Drosophila melanogaster: one gene and its partners. The protein of the gene in region 2 interacts with the protein of the main gene of each other region in a pairwise test. Each region holds a gene or a part of one and is shown on either strand. Other genes may lie near its edges.

The links.
Region 1: the proteins of CG12723 (region 2) and CycJ interact in a two-hybrid assay, tested with the Drosophila melanogaster proteins (one large-scale study listed by BioGRID).
Region 3: the proteins of CG12723 (region 2) and Mat1 interact in a two-hybrid assay, tested with the Drosophila melanogaster proteins (one large-scale study listed by BioGRID).
Region 4: the proteins of CG12723 (region 2) and pie interact in a two-hybrid assay, tested with the Drosophila melanogaster proteins (one large-scale study listed by BioGRID).

What each region holds. Positions count from the first base shown.
Region 1 is NT_037436.4:3,464,042-3,468,898, reverse strand, and holds CycJ (cyclin J), read right to left. Parts: upstream 2,472-4,857; 5' UTR 2,361-2,471; coding exon 2,277-2,360; intron 2,214-2,276; coding exon 2,027-2,213; intron 1,950-2,026; coding exon 1,527-1,949; intron 1,474-1,526; coding exon 1,007-1,473; 3' UTR 801-1,006; downstream 1-800. Other genes in the region: CG14971 (uncharacterized protein), read left to right, coding at 1-118; armi (armitage), read right to left, coding at 2,667-2,990, 3,047-3,850, 3,920-4,857.
Region 2 is NC_004354.4:13,188,106-13,193,435, forward strand, and holds CG12723 (uncharacterized protein), read right to left. Parts: upstream 3,779-5,330; 5' UTR 3,668-3,778; coding exon 2,897-3,667; intron 2,832-2,896; coding exon 1,931-2,831; intron 1,868-1,930; coding exon 1,662-1,867; 3' UTR 1,538-1,661; downstream 1-1,537. Other genes in the region: Lgr4 (Leucine-rich repeat-containing G protein-coupled receptor 4), read right to left, coding at 805-823; Coq5 (coenzyme Q5), read right to left, coding at 5,227-5,330.
Region 3 is NT_033778.4:10,737,835-10,742,562, forward strand, and holds Mat1 (menage a trois 1), read right to left. Parts: upstream 1,996-4,728; 5' UTR 1,887-1,995; coding exon 924-1,886; 3' UTR 783-923; downstream 1-782. Other genes in the region: CG33144 (uncharacterized protein), read right to left, coding at 3,095-3,352, 3,410-3,613, 3,747-4,015, 4,077-4,239.
Region 4 is NT_033779.5:10,419,500-10,424,843, reverse strand, and holds pie (pineapple eye), read left to right. Parts: upstream 1-2,063; 5' UTR 2,064-2,200; coding exon 2,201-2,314; intron 2,315-2,381; coding exon 2,382-4,016; 3' UTR 4,017-4,219; downstream 4,220-5,344. Other genes in the region: Wdfy2 (WD repeat and FYVE domain containing 2), read right to left, coding at 1-110, 174-300, 361-473, 746-1,093, 1,164-1,324; RfC3 (replication factor C subunit 3), read right to left, coding at 4,292-4,443, 4,499-4,576, 4,639-4,853, 4,914-5,344. UniProt on the Drosophila melanogaster protein: Required for survival of imaginal disk cells possibly by regulation of cell apoptosis. Required for germline stem cell self-renewal through mediation of BMP signaling.

The DNA of each region.
Region 1 (4,857 bases), on a different chromosome or scaffold from region 2:
GCTGACGGTGCCATTGCTGGAGCAAACCGACTCGGAGGACGAGTCTGGTGCAAGCAACAAACAGAACGCCTCCGATGTGATCTTCGACGTGCTGAAGCGACGCGACATGCAGCGATGAAAGCCAATCCTTGTACAGATGTCCTGTAAATGTTGTAAATTCAAACTACTTTTATGTTTACCAGCACCTTGGCCCACGCAACTACTTACTACACTGGGATTAGCAATGCATGTTTAAGTAAGCTAGTTAGTTTGACACTCTTCATTCCTTCCGTCACCGATTCCCTCAACTTCCTCGATGCATTCCCGCCTTGTGCATTTAGGGGCTAGGCTAGATATATGAGACGTACGTCAAATTGAAGTGTAAAGAGTAACATCCATGTTTAAGTTGATTCGATTGTAACGACACGAAATCTAAGGAACGAAGAGTATTCTTTGGACAATCAATTAACTTCTAATAGCAGTTAGTTTTAATCTTTTTGCATTTGTGAAGCTGAAAATGTATTGAGAACTGTCCAAAGTTTGCTTGAGTTCCGAAATCTATCTCGTTTCTTTTTTGTAAAAACTCGATCTTAAGTCATACAACCTATGTAAAAATAAGAAAGCCTTAATGACCCTTTCATTGTTCCTTAACTGACATCTTTAATTTGGCATTCCAAATTGAATTGTAAACCCTTATAGTTATAAGAATTTTTAATTTGAAAGCTCCCGCAAACGTCTGATTAAATTAAACAAGGGGCATTGTTCTTTAGCGAATTATAAATAATGTCTTCGTTGTTTTTAGTTAATGCATCATTTTTGTTGAGTTTTTGACATATTGTATTTATAAGTTTATAAGATAATTTCAAATATATATTAAATACATATATATTAAAGCATAACATCACGATTATTATATGGGTGAGGTTCAACTCAATTGAACAAGACCATATCTACGTTATGGATGTCATTTCACTTCTAAGCTATTTGGATTTCCTCCAAATGGTAATAGTTTCGTTTTTCCCTTTTACTAATCTTTGGCTACACTCTCCACTTTGGCGTGTTTCAATGGGTGCTGGTTTTCGGTATCGTCTTCAAAGCGCGATCGCTTCAAATTCGTTTGCTCTTTGGGAAGGAAAGTCGATGAATGTGGAGATGGATCCTGCAGCTGCACGGTAATTATGTTGTAGGTCTCTACTGTGACCACTTCATCGGAGACCACCAGGTTTGTGTTCTCAGTGAAGGACTCCTCGAATCCGGAATCGGGACTGGCTAAACTCTGGTTGGTCTGAACAGAGGGACTACCGTAGTCGGTCTGAATAACATGGTAATAATAATAGTCGGTCAGAACGTTCATGTACGGCTCGACATTCGCCTCAGTATAGGAGGTCAGTCCAACTAGGTACTCCGACCAGCGCCTGACCCCGCTGACCTGGCGAACTGCAGCAATGCAGGCGGCAGCCAAAAGGGATGGCAGATCGTTGGCAAATCTGGAAACTGAATGAGTGTTAAGTGGTATCCAATACCTTCCATGGGAATTCGATACTCACTGTACAATGTATAATCCGCCATGCGAAGGAGCAACTGCGCCAAAATGGACAGCATCTCTTCGAAGCTTATATATCGCTGGTACGGCTGGGTGTGATGGTTCCGCTCGTACTCATCCAACATCTCGATGTAGTTCTTGAAATCGGAGCGAGTGAGAAAACTGCAGGCGAAGAGCTCCACAAAACTGGCGGTGGTGGGACGTATTAGCTCGAAGTTCAGGAAGCACAGGATCTTCCTTTCCACAGCCTTGTACTCGAATGCCGTATAGGCGTTCTTGACCAATCGGTTCATTTCGCTGTAGCGCGGAATAAACGCATCCGTGTTTTCGATCTGCGCAGCTATATGAAGACAAGTGATGGCCACCAGGAGCAATTTGTCCGGACGGATTTTGTAGTAATCAACAAAGCGATCCATATAGTAGACGGCTGGAGTGAAACGAGTTACAATGAGTTGTGCACATGGGTTTTGTGCCTGCAGCGAGGCTCCTCTGTACAGTGCTCACCCAGGTGCAAAGCACAGCGACTAAGCTTGTGGGCGCTGGTCGCCAGTTTGAGCAACTGCAGCATTCTTCGGCGCTCGTTCAGCTGCGGCGAAAGGTAAAACAAAGGCCGACGGCTGAGTTCTTGCTCCCTCATGGTCAAAAATATATCCCGGGCATAGTCGGTGAGCCAGTGCGTCTTAGCCAGGCGCTACAAATTGGTATTTAACGAAATAAAGTCGGGTTCGCAAAAGTTAAGCACATGTCCGTTCACCTCGACATCTGCTTGCGGGCAAGTTTTCTTCAATTTGCGGTCGACGACGAAGATGTTCTGCTCGGCAGCCACTTTCTGCTCCATTGTATCGAAATTGAATGCAATGCCTTAAATCACCGATTTTAAGGCAAGAACTTAACGGCGGAAAAAAGCAAAACAAATGAAGGAGAAAACAAAAGGAGCGCAAACATGGCGCTACAACGGTTCCGGCCAGTGCTACCACACTGCGAAGCCAAACGAGCAGCGTTCCCAGACTGCGCTTGGGAGTGTTACCATTCGCTAAAATTAGCACATATGTACAAATATTTAAAACAAGTTTAATGATTAATTGTGTTACTTTAATTCATCAATAACAAGTGTTTTAATTTAATAATAAACTGTCATATGTGCTTAGTTCAAATCATCTGTAGTATTCAGTGAAGGCACGAATGTTTCCAAGCAAACGGGGACCTCATCTTTCTGATTTATCACCATTTGAGGCAGATCACAGCCAAAATAGGCGTTATTTTTGACACAGAACAGGATTAGCTGGCGCCAGCATTCGTCGACGGCCAGAAGATGGGGATTCCCGAAGATGATCATCATGGCACGTGCTCGGGAAACGGCCACGTTAAGTCGCTTGCTGCAACGCACGAATCCCAAGGAGAAGCGGGCATCCATGCGCAGGATCTCTTCTGATGAACGCACCGTGGATATTAGTATAATGTCTCGTTCCTGGAAATAACAAACGTTAAGTGTGCACGTAATATCGATTTTAGTTCCGACCCCACCTGTCCCTGAAACTCCTCGACGGATCCAATCTTCGGCATGACCACGTCGGTGCCAATGAACATACTCCGAAGCATCTTCACCTGCTTCTGATAGGGCGTGATTATACCGATCTGATCGGCAGTCACATTGGCACGGTACAGGGCGATGGTCATTAGGAACACCTCCCTGACCTCTTGGGGATTGAACCAGGAAGGGGAATCGTTATTTTGCCTGTTTTCGCCAATGATTCCGTAAAAGAACGTGCCGTGCGCTTGAGGGATATCCTTTTCTGACTCAAATACACACCGCAGTTTACTTAGTAGGCGAGATTCCCTTGAATCCTTTTCGGAAAGAACTGGGATCAGTTCGTCATCGTAGAATAGCCTGCTATAAATGCTCATAATCGACGGTAATGCTCGGTAATTGTACAACAATTTGGTTAGCACTAGTGGATTGTAGCCGGAGCTTTCGGGAAATCGCTGAAGATCTTTTCGATACGGCGACCGTTCCAGCAATCTCTCCAGAAAGGATATGGAAAATCCCATTTTCGAGGCAATTCGACTGGTGACAATAGACTGCAGCTGGCGAGGATCACCTGAGAGAACAACTTGAGAGCGTTTCTTCGTTAGCATTACAATGGGTACCATTGTTTCTGGTTCGGTGCATTGACCAGCTTCATCGAACAGCACGTGAGTGAAATGGCCCGCTGGAAACCCCAATTGTAAAAAGTTTCCCAAAGTAGTGCAGGTGGAGATGGTAATGCGATGAGTACCTATAAACTTAGCTTGACAGCGAAGCTTCAATCCCGATTCGGTGACCATCATCTATAGCAAATATCAACAAAGCCAAGATTAATTGGTGTCCAATCCAAATGATAAAATTTTTCTACTCACTTTGTCCTCGCAACTGCCCACAGCACCGACATCACTTGTGGCGCAGTAGCTCATTATTTCCGGAGGAATCAAGTCTTTCTCCACTTGATTGTACGAAACGAGGCGAATGAAATCTCCCTGGAGCAAAGCTTTGCTATCGATGAGCCTCTTTGTCACCAAATCCGCTGAGCTGTTCGACGGCGTTCCCACCAAGATTCGGGCACCAGGCAGATTCCTAACCAACTGGAGTAGTGTCTCAATAAGTGTCATTGTTTTTCCACTGCCCGGAGGCCCAAACAGCACATAAGGAATGTTCTCCGCTTCACCGCGCAGTATATTGAAAACAGCACGTTTTTGGATGGAATTAAGCGACTGATTATACCACTCTAATTTCGAATCGTACAAGTACATGTCGTCATCCTTCATATAAACATCCAGCTGGGGATTCTCGCGCTTGGTTACTTTGCTGGGAAACAAGAAATCCTCGCCCATTACTCCTACAATTTTGGAGATGGCATGGTGTTGCTTGCGAAAACTGTAGCGTGAGAAATAGAACTCTAGTCGATAGTCCTCGCCATTATATTTCTCCTGGAAACTGGAATGGAATTTGAGTAAAATGCGATCGAAGAGCACCTTATGGATAATGCCCTCGTATGACTTGGTGGTCTGGGAATCGGGATCCGACCAGGGATTAATGACTCGCAGTGTATCGCCAATGACCAGCGACGGTCGACGCTCGGCTAGATTCTCGATCTGCAGCGTGAGGAACTCTCCGTCACGCAGAAAGTGTGCTCGGTCTCTGTCGTAGTTGCGAAAGTTGACGAAGCACTCGATCTCCTCGAGGTGTAGGAGCAATCTGAAACGGTGCATATAGGTTTTAATGCTTAGGGGTTCCGTGAGGAATGAATAGTGCTGCTCGATGGCCTTGATCATCTCTTGTCGCCGTTCACTAGTCAAAC
Region 2 (5,330 bases):
ATATGTATATTCCAAAAATTCGTAGCATTTCTTTGTATGCCTTAAATAGTTTCATTTATTTATTTGCAAACTCTTTCAGTACTCTTATTATATAACTTTAAACATAAAAAAAAAATTGAGCAACGCACCGGCAAAAAAAAGAAAAACTTTTGTATCTAATGCACTTTTTATTCGCGGACATTTATGTTTTCTCGAGCTCAAACTTTATTCGAAAAACTTCTTGGTGCCCTTTGAACTTTGTCAAACATCCAGAACTTTCATCACTTTTGCACCTTTTCGTGCATATAACTTTTGGAATTTCTTTGTAAAATTATTTCATTTTCGAAAGTTTTGGCTTGTATACTTTTTGCCATCACTATCCATTTAAAAAATGTTCAAGCCTGTATTCGATTTCATGCCATTTTTCTCAATGATTTTTTTTTTTTTTTGTATTCTTTATGTTGTCTTAGCTTTAATTTCAATTTGAATCCAAACTTGAAATACCCTCCTATATATACATATATGTATATTTCATATGAATTTCCTAAAGGTAGCACACTTAAATTATAAACCCTCAATTATCGCATGGATAACATTCACACAACCATCGAAAATCCCAGGCACTTTCACATCCGCAGATGGTCAATATCTTGGCCGGGTTTATTATTTCGATTCGCGTTAAAATGCCACACAAACATTGCGAATAAAGTAGATAAAAACCTATACACATTGGAATCGGGGGATATCTGGCATCTCTCTATAACTGCACCGATAAATATACACACAAACAAAAAAAGGGGTATTGTTTATTATTCCGGGACGTACGCATGATCGCTATTGACATCCAGGGAGTTCTTCGCTTTTTTTTTCTTCCACCGTCTCAACGGGCAATAAACAATATTTAATTATAGACTCTGATGGGCACAGCACAAAAAAAAAACAAAAAAAAACCAAAAAGAATCAAAATCAAAATAAAACTTCGCCGCACTTCAATGTGTAAGATCGCGGATCGGTGGATCCAAAAATATATATGCGCGGTATATAGTCGGAATATAGTCGATTTTTGGTCCGCAGCAGACGCGCGTTCGCCGCCAACGATAACAAACAACTGAGCTGAAAAAAAGGCGAGCGAATGCCTGCAACATGTGGCATGCGGCCTTTCCAGGTGCCCCGCCCACTGGCGCCGCCCAGCCGACCGCCCAACCGCCCACTTTTCACCCAACCAAGCACACAACGCACTCATTCAGCGCGCCGGCTGGCAATTTATGAATGAAAAGCTGAACGGGAAAAGCTCCAAAGAAACCAACGAACGCCAAGTTCAAGGTGAAAAGCCCTTTGGGGGAAAAGCGCGCGCCGGAAAAGCTCAGGAAATGAAAATGCGCCGAGCCAAAGGGAATTTCCTAATGAAATTCAAATAGATAATATGTATGTGCCAAAAGGAAATAAACTAAGATATTATGTCTATATCTCGCATATACTTTGCAATAGAATTAGTTATTTAAATTATTTATTATATTTATTATTATTACGCAATAAATAAACGATCTGTTCAATTTTTCGATAAATAACTTATTTAATAGCAACATAATTTACAATACAAGTAGAGCACAAATGAACGAAGGCTTAAAAAAAAAAAACAAAAAAAAATTTGAAAAGATCCCTAGGTGGAGTGAGTGGTGGACTCAGTAGTGGTGGTAGTTGTGGCCCTGTTGCTGCTGTTGCTGCTGCTGCTGCTGCTGCTGGTGCTGCTGCTGCGCCAAGTTGGCCTGGGCGAAAATGTGCTCCAGCTCGGCATCGGTCAGCTGGTCAAAGATGCCGCCCTGACCACCGATTCCGGCACTACTGGCACTCAGGGCCGACGGTTGGGATCCCACGGGTGGCAGGTAACCTGGAAAATATTCGTTTGAAATATAGCATAATAATATATATCCATAACGTCATCTGAGCTCACCTTCAGCTGGCGCACTTCCGTATGGCGGGAGCAGGGTGATCGAGGGTCGATTCGGCGACGCTGGCGCGGATTCGGTGGGTGGACTATAGAATACCGGCTTCCAGGGCTGCTGGACGGATGGCCGCTGTGGTGGCACCTCCGACGGCGTCTCCGGCTCGGGTGATTGTGGGGGAATCTGCGGCGAGGCTATACCCGTGCCGGATTCAGGGCGGACGGGAGTGGAGCCCGGCAGCGGTACAATTCCGCCGGGGAATTGCGACTCTGGTTGGCCAAAAGTGGGTGGCTGCTGCGGCAATGGTGGCTGTGGAGCAGCCGGAAAGAATTGGCTAGTTGGTGGACTGGGGAAGGCCGGGACCGTGGGTACAGCTGGAACTCCTGGAACGGAGGGAGGTGATGGAATGGCTGGCGCCTGGGGGAACTGGGGAATCTGGGGAAAGCCGGGAAATTGAGGGAATCCGGGAAATTGTGGTATTTGGGGTATCTGCGGTATGGCCGGAATCTGTGGAATGGCGGGAACCTGTGGCACTTCTGGGGCTTCTGGTGCAGCTGGAACTGCCGGCTGGGCGGGCACAGCGGGTTGGGCTGGCACCGCTGGCTGAGCGGGCTGGAAGCTAAAGGTCGGCACACCGGGGAACTGAGGCGGTTGTGGGAACTGAGGGATCACCGGCAAATCCACAGCTGGGGGAGACGGAACACCGAAGGTCACTGTAGGTTGGATGGGTTGAACCGGTTGAAGGGGCTGAACCGGTTGGATTGGGCTAACTGGCTGCAGATGGGTGGTCACCGGTTGCACCGGTTGAAGGGGCTGAATGGGCTGGAGATGATGAACTGGCTGCACTGGCTGCACGGGCTGAACAGGCACTGCCGGAGCAGTCGGAGCATAGGTCTGCACATAAGTGGGCTGCAACAGAAAAGAATGAAATGGTCAACGGGATATTCCACAAGTTTCCTATGTAGCTAACTCACCTGCACGGCATGCACATGGCCATGAGCCGGAGCATGGAAGTGGACAGGCTTTACGGCGGACTGAAAGACCACGGGCTTCTGCAGGTGCTGGTGCGGATAGTTGACGCTGTACGAGGAGACGACCGCATTTCCGGGACGCAGGACGTACGAGGGCGGAGCCACGGCGGTGGACAAAGCGGTGGCCACGCCGGTGGACAAGGCAGTAGCGACTCCGGCGGGAATGGCACTGGCCACGCCACCGGGCAGACCGGTGGGCAATCCAACGGGCAGGGCTGAGGCGACGGCGGGCAGCAGGGCAGCGGGTGCGGGAGCTAAGGCGGGCAGCAAACCGGAACCGGAAACGAGCGGCTTGACCAGACCATGGCCGTATTTGACGAAGTGGCGGCGCGGAGGAGCGGCGGCCAGGAAGGCACTGCCTCCTGGCAGCTGCAGGCTATAGCCGTAGTGGGCGGCATAGGTGCGGGCGGGCCATTGGCCGTGCAGGTGGGCGTGGCCGTGTAGAATGCCACGCTTGTGCTTTCCGGTCGTGACCTCCACTTCCGTTTCCGGTTCGGTAACCACACTGGCCGTTGGGGCACTCTCCGCCACCGATTCCTCTTGTAGCGGGGCATCCTCGGAGGTCACTGTCAAAGTGGGCGTTGTGCTGGCGGGGGGCGTGACCGATCGACTGGTGTGACGCAAACGTAAGCCCGCCTCAGCTCGATGAGAAACCAAGATGACAGCCAAGACCATCAGAAGATGGAGGCTCCTCGAACTGGCCAAGAGATTCATTTCGATTCAGTGGACTTGATTTCTATATGCGTATATTTGGACACTATGTAATATATCGCCTCGCCTCGCGTTTAATCCGTTTGCTGCGATCGCCGACAAGAAAATGAAATGAACTTCCTTGGTCGCTGTTGTATTTATAAAGCGGACATCGCGGCACAGTGGAGTGGCACATACCCACTGTGCATACCAATCGGTGGCACTGGTGGTGCTAGCAATGCACCACCGTCAGCGGCTCATCGGCATGGCATACGGCATGGATTGGGCAGTTTATGACTTTTACGCTGCCATTTCACCTGCCGCAATCGAAGACCCCTCACCCACTGACCACTGACCACTGAGCAGCGCCTCATTATGCTGCGCCACCTGACCACGCACTGTGGTACCGTAGATTGTGCGCATATATATGGTATGTATATTCCTCAAGTATGGAATATTCCTACTACACTTCATATCTAAGTTTACTTCTTATTCAGATATCGAGATTATTATCATAAAAATCTAAAAGGCTAAAACTCTATATAGTTTGCCAACAACTTTGCCCACTAGTCCCACTGATTGCCTGGCCCCGCTCCACTGTCCCATTGGCCGGAATCCACCTACGCATGCGCAGCACGTTGCCGCACGCACCAAACTTTTGCTTTCAATGGCCTGCATGTTCCGCATGCTTTTTGTGCTCAGTTTTTTTTGTTTTTTATCGCCGGACTCTTTTCACTTTCGATTGCCGGAGATGGAAGGTCCGAAGGTTTATGATTTGGCTGCAATTTAGATACAAATCAAATGTGTCTCCGCTTACATAATCCGGCCAATAATATGGGCGGCTATTCGGGTGTCCAATCCGTGTTAATCAGTCGCCGGGTGAAAGCATAATAAAGCCATTGTAATAAAAGCAAAAGCGCACAATTGCAAAGCACCAATTAGCAATTACCTATTAAGCATGGCACGGTCAATTATTTTGATGGCATTTCAATGCTATTATTTGAATTTCGTTAAAATTCAACATTCACACGCATAAATTTCACCTGCACTACATCTGATGGCGAACTGAAGTCAATAGATAAGTGGATAGTTTCTGCATTATATCACATCCCATCGCCGTAAATGGACTTTCGATTAGCCTACATGGAGATTTTCACTTTTTTTTGGAAACGACCCGTTGGGTGTGTGGAATTTAAATCGATTACAGTGCCTTACACCTGGCATCTGGTACAGTTCGGTTATTGGGCTACCACCATATCGCCCTTTGCATCTAAGTGGGTCTGGCACACAATCCTCAAGGTCTTTCCCAGGCCTTGCCGCCGGAGATGTCATCAGTTTGCCGTTTGGGTTTGCCTTTTGGCACATGAAGTACATATATTTGACAAAGAGCTACATAAACCTCAAAATGTAAACATACAGAAATAAAAGCCGCCAGAGGAGCTTGTTTAATTCGATGCTTTATGACCTGCCCGACGTGAGCAGCATGAAAAAACGCAAAAAACCAACAATATAGATTATAGTTAAGCCCCATCAAATGGTCTTAGGATTTCCTAATCGCTTACAACAAATATCATCCTCGGCTGTCACAGTTTGAAGCCGGAGTGAATGCTGACCACGCCGAAGGTTAGGTTCTCGTAGGACACCTGATCGAATCCGGCCTGCTCGATCATTTGCTTGAATTGCTCCT
Region 3 (4,728 bases), on a different chromosome or scaffold from region 2:
TTGCTGCTTCCACATTCCACATGCATCGTTCGCGGCATTTTCTGCCCGAGTAGCGTGACCCAGCACACACACACATCGCCTCCATCCCAGCTTATATTAATTTTGTGTATTTTATCATCATAGATGAGAAGCAAAACTCATGCGATCATAGTTAAGATTATGACATTTTAAATGTATTAGCAGCCATATCCCCGATCGCTCTCATTGTCACCAGTCCTGCACTCTGTAATCTACCCACATTGCCCATGCATAGGTCGTTAAGTTAACCAGTTCATGTACTTGGCTAGGATAGTCCATCTGTGGCCAAAAATCTCGCAAGTGGCCCGATCGCAGAACACATTTACCTCTAACTGTGCAAGTAGATCTTAGGATGTGACGAGCTACTCGTCCGACTATCACACGATTTAACTATAATCCGTATAATGTATAAAGAGCAAGTTAAATCCAATGTATGTTTATCCAGCATATGTCTATAAATGCCTATAAATATTTACTGTTAAAAGTATTTAAAATAAAAAGAAGTCTGTAGTCGAACGAACCAACTGTTTTTCTGTTTGGCTCATTTTGATCTCTTGTATTTGTATTTAGAATACAAATTCAGGAAACTTTCTTATTTGAATAATTATCAAAATGAATAAGCTAAGTTTCTTTGCAAATGAAAGTTATTCTAATATAGACATGTTATTTTTTTTACTTCTTGTTTAAGGATTAATTTTCCTGCGCATCTATTGACCTACTATGTAGCCAACAACAATATATTTTTGAATAAATAATATCTATAACGTAGGATATAGCATTTATTTATTTAACATATATTAAGTTACGAGTTAACTGAATGGATTCGTATAGGACACATTTGTTCAACAAAATTAAGCGTTCAGTGCTCTGGTTGTGCGACCATTAAAGGATATTTTTTTAGAGAGCTAGGTGCCAGATACCACACCCGTTGTAGCCGTATAGTAGAGTCCCTGCAGCGCCTCCTGAAGCGCCCGTTCACAAGCCAGAGCGGATGTGAATCCGCCGGCGTTCTCCTGCGGTGTTTCAGCTCGTATGTGGGCAATATAGCCCCTGGACACGATCTCATTTGTGGGCGGCATGGCAGGTCCCTCACTGAAAGGAACAAGTGGCTCGTATACGAAAAGTGGACCCTCCTCCGATTTGGGAACGGGCAGCAGACTGGGATCAGCTGTCTGTCCGAACTTTATGCCCGTAGAGAACTCGTTGGCGGGCTTCGGCGGTGGAAGCTGTTTCTCCTCCTCGCGCTGCTTTTCCGCTTTTTCGGCGAACTCGGTGACAATTTGGGCGGCATCCTTGCCGCTGTACATCAGCTCCTCGATCAGCGCCTGCTTGTCGCGGGCCTTCTTCTTCTTGTGCTCGTTCTCCAGTTCCTCCAGCTCCTTCCTACGCGCCTCCTCCTGAACTTTCTCCAGCTCCAGCATCTCCTCCAACGCGTACTCATCGCGTCCCACGCGGGTTTTATTCCGCTGAATGACCTCACGGTTATCACGCTTGTAGGCCTCAATACGCTTGTTTGTCTCGATGATGTCGATGTTGTTGCACAGATTGTACACAATGTCCTCGATCTCCTCCAGATAGTCATTGTACTCCGCCAGGGAGGCAAAGTCCTCCTCACGTTTATTGTAGTCGCGCAGAATTCGCCTACGAATATCCACCTCCTTCTCCACCATTGGGTCCTCAAAAAGCTGCACGCGGAAGTTGTTGCGCCGCAATGGGACCATGCACTCTGGACAGGCGCCGGATCCTTTGAGGAACAGCAAGTCCACGCAAGATTCGCATAATGTGTGTCCGCAAACGTTGACCATCAGCTTGAGCGATGGATTCCGGTATTTGGTGGTCTTGCACCGCGGGCACGCCTGGTCGTCCATCGCGTAGCCGGTTTACCTGTCCTCCTCTCTGCTGCTTAAATCCGTAAATAAAAACTCTTTGCCGGCCAATGTTTTCGATAAATTATTATTTGATGCATTCCCTAATGTGACCATGGTTGGCCCGTAATGTCATGTTTGTGATTTCGCTTAGTAACTTTAGTTCACATCTAGCACATACACGAACCACAAACATAGCGTTGCCATACTATATGCATGTTTTACAATAGCCGTTACAAGCTTGAAAATTTAAAGCTTGAAATGAAGCCCATGAATATGAAATGAGAATTTTAAGCTATTAAATAACCCAGTACTTTAATAAAAGCCAATTCCATAGTTTTCTTTTAACATTTTTATTTCAAACAGCATACGCGGTAGTTGTTCACATTAAGAGTAAAGTTTAAATATGTTTTCTTTAAAGATACACGCACTTTTATGTCATACGTATTTTGATATATGTGTTCTGAGTGTATATGCATTAAATAATTCAATAATTTACATTAACCAAATCATCCCCAGCTAGGTGCACCTGCCAGCTTTTAGGCAAGCGACCCGAGAGCAGCGATTTGATATACATTTGTTTTAGCTGCGTAGTAAAATTTACAATTAAATACATTCAATAAACAGTAGTAGTGACATCATATACACCTCCTTTATATGCAGTATATATATTTTTTTGCGTAGATAAAAGCATTGCCAAGCAGTTGATCAAAGTGACCCATCAATTTTGGGTGTTAGTTGCATGCGTAATACTTGAGAGAAGGATTGAGTGGGTGAGTCGGGCGATTTTGTTTGGGTGGGTGCGTTATAAAAGCACTGTTGCAATACGAGGCGTACTCCTAATATATTTAGACTAACTTATGCGCTAGGAAGAGAACCTACTCGATTTATACAGATTGATTTAGTCGAATATATATTCAAAGGTGTGGTTAGGGGGAGGAAAGAATATATGTAGAGACAGAACCTAAAAAGAATCGAAGGCGTCTTGTCTTTGTATAGGTTCTCAACAAATTTGTCGATTCAATTAGAAATCGAATCACTGTAAATATCACAATTTAGTTAACACATATACAATTATAATTGTAATAACTAAAATAAATGTACGTAAGCTGTCGTCATTAACAATAGAAACTACCAGTAATTACAGCAGCTGCATTTACAGGCTGCAGCCTATGTCGCGTATGGATGGGGATGCGTGGAGATCCAGCCACCTAGCCCTGCAGCGCAGTGACCTCCTCCTCCAGTTCGGCGTCCACCTCGTCGATCTTGGACCCGGTGCACCCTCTGCACTTGCAGCAGATGATGCAGGGAGCAGCCAAGAGCAGCAGCGGCGAGGCCACCAGCAGCAGAATGCCAAAGCCGGCGAAGATCCCAATCACTTGGGCACGATGCCAGACCACCGAGGCCCGCGAGTGCCCCAGCTTGTTCTTGCACGGTCCCTTGTCGTAGTGGCGCAGCAGGAAGTCATCCTGCAGGAATACAAATTAGATGAAATATCCTAGACTTGCCAGATTCTAGGAACTTACATCCAAACTGGCCAGGCAGTACCAGCAGAAGACGTGCTTGCAGCGCTTGCACATCATCTGGGCGCAGCCCTCGTCCTTTTCGATGGGCACCGCGCACATGGGGCAGCACTTGATCAGTTCGTTGTCGAACGGTATGCCAATGTCGTCCTGGCCATCGGCAATTAGGCGTCTTCCAAACTCGTCGCAGCTTATGTTCGGATGGTACTGCAAAAAGGATAGAAATCATTATAAACTAGAAACCATTAAAAATGTGATAAAATTGCGCAAAACTAAAAACCTTTTATAGAATTTTAATTTATGTTTATGACAGGAAACAACAACAATGTCACACACTTACCGCCTTTTTGCAGAGGCCGCAGAATTCGTCCTTGCAAGAGGGACAGTGAACAGACACCGAGAGAACGGGAGCTCCGTTTCCGGCCGCGGCACCTGTGCTTCCGTTTCCGGCCACCTCCTGCTGTGGACTGTAGCTCTGCGAGGTCGACGGCGACTCGTCCATTTGGCAAATGACGCTGGACTGGCCAGGCTGTGCTGCTGCACCCACCGTGCAGATGGTCTCGCAGCCAGCCCGTGGACACCAGGTGCGCGTCTTGTCCAATTCGATTTCTAAATGAAAGTGTAACATTACTAAGAGGTCTCTTAGGCAATCTCTTAGGCAAGGACTTACCTCGATTTAGGCGATATCTATGATGCTTCTTTAGCAGATTCGTTGTAGTTAGGTTCGCTATCTCGGGCAGGGAAATGGCACCCTGGGCCGGGCACGTGGCGTCCGGACAGGAGATCTCGTAAGCGCCCTCGGAAATCTCGAACTCAACGTAGGCACGCATGCACTGCAAGTAAATAGAAGCAGGCGATGAATTAGCTAAACAATTTGCACGTCTTAAGCGTAATCGCACCTAAGTCGGGAAAATATATCTTGATATACATATATGTGAGAGTTGTAGCTCACTCCCTCACTTTTTGCCAAGGGAAAAGTTTGTCAGGGCATTTAGCAAGTTTGGCTGGCATAGTTTCGGCCAGGAAAACCGCATGGCCCACCACAAGGCTGCGGTTGTCGGAATTATTTCATTTTCACTCGCACACAAAAGTTGCCGCCTGTGCGGAAGCTTTTATAAATAAAGATTTAAAAGTTTTCCCTTCCGCCATGGCACATTAAAGTAATGGAATTGCAAACGGAACCAAAGGAAATACTCAAATGCTTCGACACCAACCATATTTTCCCTTTTCGGCCCCGCCAGCAGCAAATGAAAGCCGGGCAAAAACGCTTTTTGGAGAAAAGTTTCCGAGTCGGTAGCACAAAAAAGTGTCTCCTGCGGCCA
Region 4 (5,344 bases), on a different chromosome or scaffold from region 2:
GAACCTCTTTCCGCATTGCATTCATTTCCCAAAAAACCACTACTGAATCTTCGCCACAGCTTATCAGTTGTTGCGTGTGATTCGCGTACGACAGGGCGGAAACTTTGTTGCTACATAATCAGAAGTGCCGATTACTATCTTATTTTATGAATATTATTTAAGATTGGAGATACCTATGTCCCTGCAGCTCGTAAATGGTGCCACGTTTGCCACCAACATCCCAAACTAGCACGGACTGATCGCAAGCTCCGCTAAACAAGAGCTGAGGGCCTTCCACCCATTTGAGGCACCGGATTTCCGCTAAAAATTAACCAATTCGTATATAATTAGCTTACTAAATATCATTTGTAACTTGTTTACCCGAATGTCCATTGAAAGTGGTAATTAGTTGCACTCCCTGAACATCGCACCTTAGCATTGTTATCTGTCCAGCATGATCGCCCACAAAGGCATACTTGGCCAAAGCGTCGAACCTAAACGCAGATTATAATTAATTATATGTTGCTTATAGAATATTTCGCACAGTGCACACATTTATGCCAAAATTTTGTGTAGATAAAATGACTCAGTTGACACGTCATTAACAATAGAAGGTTCTCAAATTCTAAATGAATTCCATAGCCGTGAAGAATTGCAGTTTATTGCCGTGTCAAAGAAAGCAGTTTAATCCAATTAAATGACCCGCTTATCCCATATCCACTGTCGCACCCCCTTCCCCCTTTCACCATCCATTTATCATACTTACTGGAGAGCCGTGCATGGTGTCTCAAAGTTGTATCCGCCCACCCGTTTGCCGCTCTCCGTGCAATGATAGGCGAACTGCTTATCTTTGCCGGCGGAGAGTATCCACTTGTGGGTTTTCGAGAAGACCACGGCCATGACCCGCGCTTGATGGGACAAGTAATCCCGCAGGAAGGACAGGCGATTGCAGTCTTCGGATAGCGCGTACTGGGTGACCGTTCCGTTTTCCTGGCCGACGTACAGGTGCCGGGATTCCGAAACGTACTCGATGGCCGTGCAGCCGGAAGGCATATACTGGCAAATGCTAGGCCAATATTGACCAGAATCGCGTTTTAGCCAAACGCGAACGGTTCTATTGGGGAAAACATGAAAATGTCAGGCATACCATTTGTGTATATTTTTAATGGGCTACAGCTACGCACTTGTCATCGGAAACGCTAATTACGCCGTTTTCGCCCGGAATTAGGATCGCTGCGTTCACATCGTCGCTGCTGCCCTCCAGCTTACTCAGCAATTCCGGCTTTTTGGAGGTGTTAAAGCGATCATTGTTGGTCCGCTGAGCTGGTTTTATCTCGGCAGCCATATTATTTAAGGTGGATCCAGTCCGATGGTACGCCTACGCCCTATTTAACGCACTCGATGATAATGCGGTTATAAACAATCCGATTCTCGGACTGGGGAAGGTGAATGGAGATACGTGATTCACAATCAATTAACAAAACTGTGTTATTTTGTTTAACATTAAATATACTGAACTTTGTTGTTGGAAAGCTCGTCTAGATAGCGACGCCAAGTTTAGGAATGCTGCGGAATAGTGGAATCGATGAAATGAAAATAGAATCTTAATTGTTAGATATAGTTTTTGCGTATTATTGTATATTATTTTGCTATTAAAAATACTGAAGGTATTTCGTGTGATGTGTCGCAGCATTATGTATGCATATGCACGCACCACATTTTATAAACATACAAACGAGCATTTGAATCTTGAATCTCAGAAATCGCTTTATAAATGTATAGTCTTATGATTTTCATAATGGCATATCATATCTAATAAAACCTACGGACCACGCACAGTTATGTTTCCGGTTATCATGCTATTTAATTATTAATCACAAAATATTTGTTTATATTGTGTTAAGTTTTTAATACGTTAAAATTTATTATTACACATAAATAAATAATTTTATTATAAGTAGGGTTAACGCAAAATATAGCTAGTTAAGCAGATTAGATCATTGTGAGTGTTGCTCAGTGGAAACAGAGCTTTTCCAAAAATGTGCTTGGTGGAATTGAAGTATAATAAGGCGCTGTTGTATTTATTGTTTTTCAAAATCCTTGCCCGCCAATAGAGTAAAAAAGGAATGCAAAACATGTTGATAGTTTTAAAAATTATTCATAATAGCACTCAAACGAGTTGATCTGTCCAGCAAAACTAGTCTGAGCGGCCAGCTTACAAATGGAAGATAACAAGGAGCTGCAATGCTTAATATGCAAATATTCGGACACTGACGACCTGGTCTTTGGCGAATGGATGATTGTACGCAATTTGCAGGTGCACTATTTTTGCCTGGTAAGTGCGATTGTTGTGAAATGAAGAGAACTCCCGCTAATGTAAACTTCCTGATCCAATCCACCAGCTACTCTCAACGCATTTGCCGCAGCGCGGCGGAGATAGCAGTGGAATCCTGGGATTTCTGCTTCGCGATATCCGCGAGGAGGCAGCCGCCGCGGAGAAGAGGAAATGTTGGTACTGCAATAAGATTGGGGCCAGTTTGCAATGCGATCGTTGCCGGTCATTGTTTCACCTGAAGTGCGGCCTGGAGAATCGCGCCGTTTTCGAGTTCTGCGGCCAATACAAAAGCTACTGCTACAAATGCAGGCCGATGGATGACTACAAGCGACAGCTGCAGTCGAATCCGCCGAGGAACGCCACTTGCCCCATCTGCTTCAGTTCCATCTATAAGGTAGAGCTGCATTGCGTTGTGTACGGTGACTGCTGCCGCCTCGGATTCGCCCATAAGAAATGCATGCGTCAGTACGCTCTGACCTCCGGATATTACTTGCGTTGCATTTGGTGTCGTTCGGAACGTTTCAGGGATTCCATACGCCTGCAGTCGGTATTCGTGCCCGATCGCGATGCCACGTGGGAGAAGCAACGGAACGCCTATAGGGAGCTCCACGAGCGCAATCTGAAATGCGACCAGCCCAACTGCCTGTGCCCCAGTGGTAGAACTTATAATAGATTATCGTGGGTGATACTATGCTGCAGTTCTTGTGCCGCCACTTCGGCTCATCTTAAATGCTTGGTGGGCGCCCTGCGACTGCCGAAGAAGCGCGAGCGTACAGATTTCAAGTGCTCTATGTGCCTGGACGTGGAGAGGAGGATTGCTGAAGGACCGGCTCGCACAACAGAAGAAACCAATGCTGACGGCGACAACCAGGTGGATGGCTCTTTTTATGTGCAAAAATTGGGACCCGATGCTGCAACTCGATCCTTAACCCAGACTCCTGTTTTCTCCGAAGAAGACGAAAGCGAACGAAGTAGTAATATCACGGTTATATTCAGCCAACCGAAATCTAACGCAACAAGCGAGAGGTTATCCTTATCGCCGCCACAGGAGGAGATGATAGTGGAAATTCCTGATTCGCCAGAGGCGTCGCCAAAGACGTCCATCGATGAGAACCACTCGCCGCAGCCAATAGCAAGAAGGGACACATCCGACTCACCACAGCCAATAGCAGCAAGTGAGATCCCCGACTCACCGCAGCCAACAGCAGCAAGTGAGATCCCCGACTTACCGCAGACAACAGCAATAAACGTAAACCCTGAATTAACGCAGCAAACAGCATTAAACACGATTCCACACTCACCGCAGCCAGAAGCCAGCTTCTCAACGCAGCTAGTATCACAAACTTTCGATTGTCCACAGCCGCAGGAACAAGCTGTGGCGAAAGCTCCCAACTCACCGTCACTGCCGAAAGAGGATCCAAATACTTTACTTGTGCTAAAATCGGGCTTTCAATGCCCTGGCGAACCATTTTTCTACTTGGTTATCTACGAATTTGAGCACGGCACATGCATGGGTGAGTGCATTGGTACGTGTGTGCTGCGATTTAAAGAGGATGACCCGCGCATTCAGGACACCTCGCAGGCAGCTTTGGAACGCGTCAACATAACACCAGACGATGTATGGTGCCGCAGCGAGGACCGCGGCATCTTTGAGCATATCGAGAAGTTCCACGAATGGTACAGATCAGAGGGGTTCTCTTAAATATTGTTTAAAACAATTCTTAATGTTCTTAATGTTTTAAACAATTCTCTTGTGTGGGAATTAATTCGTCATAGAATTCTAGTCTCTTTATGCATATATTGTTTCGCATGATCATCCAAAAAAAAAAAAAAAACAAAAAAAAATTTCCTACCTCTGAAACCACTTTAAAAAGGTTTAATGATTGTTAAACTAGAGAAGCATGCAGTAAATAAATTGTGTTTTATGTTTTTGTATTTATAATTTAATTCTAACCTATTATTGGAGTACACATTGTTTCACTTCTCCATTGAAACCATATCTCGGCAAATAAAGAAGGCGGCTACCAGAGCTGCAGTTTGAGCCACTTCTGTACATCCTTTGGCCAATCTCTCCTCGATCTGAGCTAGCTTTACAATAAGCTTGTTCATGACCGACATAGGCAGCTCAACTGTTTGGAATACATATCAATAACTTGACTTGATGATAACTTGATAAAAACTTACGTCTCATAACAAACAAATGCAATTCTGTAATGATGTCTTCCAAAGCGAGACCTCTTGCGTACTTGGCACTTTCGACAGCTATGCAAAGAGAAGAAAGAATCATTAGTTTTGATCTTTCGCCATTTCAAATCGCATCATACTTTTGAAGGAGTCCTCCAAGCTACTGCCGGATAGCAAGGCCTTCAATATCTGTTCAATATCCTGCCTCAACGGATAGCCCACGCACATGTAGACGTTATCCTCGTTTACCGTATCAAATGCCATCACGGTACTCTGCAGGACGTTCAAGACCTTTCTCATATCACCTTTGGCCAGGGTCAGCAGTGCCCGCTTGCCGTCCTCAGTTATCTGAACGCTGATAGTTGATAGATTTTAGGTTAGTAATAAGCTATTTTATGCAGTTGAAAGACCTTACGCTTCGGCTTCGATGATTTTTTCCAGTCGCGGCATCATCTGATCCTGGGATAATGGAGCGAACCGAAAACGGGTGCAACGCGACTGCAGCGCCGGAATGATTTTGCTCAAATAATTGCAAATCACACAGAAGCGCACGTTGTCCGTATATTTCTCAATTATGCGGCGCAGGGCATTCTGGGCATCGTTGGTCATGGCATCGGCCTCGTCCAAAATGATCAGCTTAAAGGTGTCGCAGAAAATGGTGCGTGTGGACGCGAAGTTAAGGATTTGACCGCGCACAATCCCAATGCCTCGGTCATCCGAGGCATTCAGCTCCAGGACCATGGACTTAAACTGCTGAGGGGAATACAATTGGCGAGCGCAGGCCAGGATTGTACTCGTTTTTCCCGTGCCAGGTGGTCCGTAGAACAGCAAATGGGGCAGCTGCTT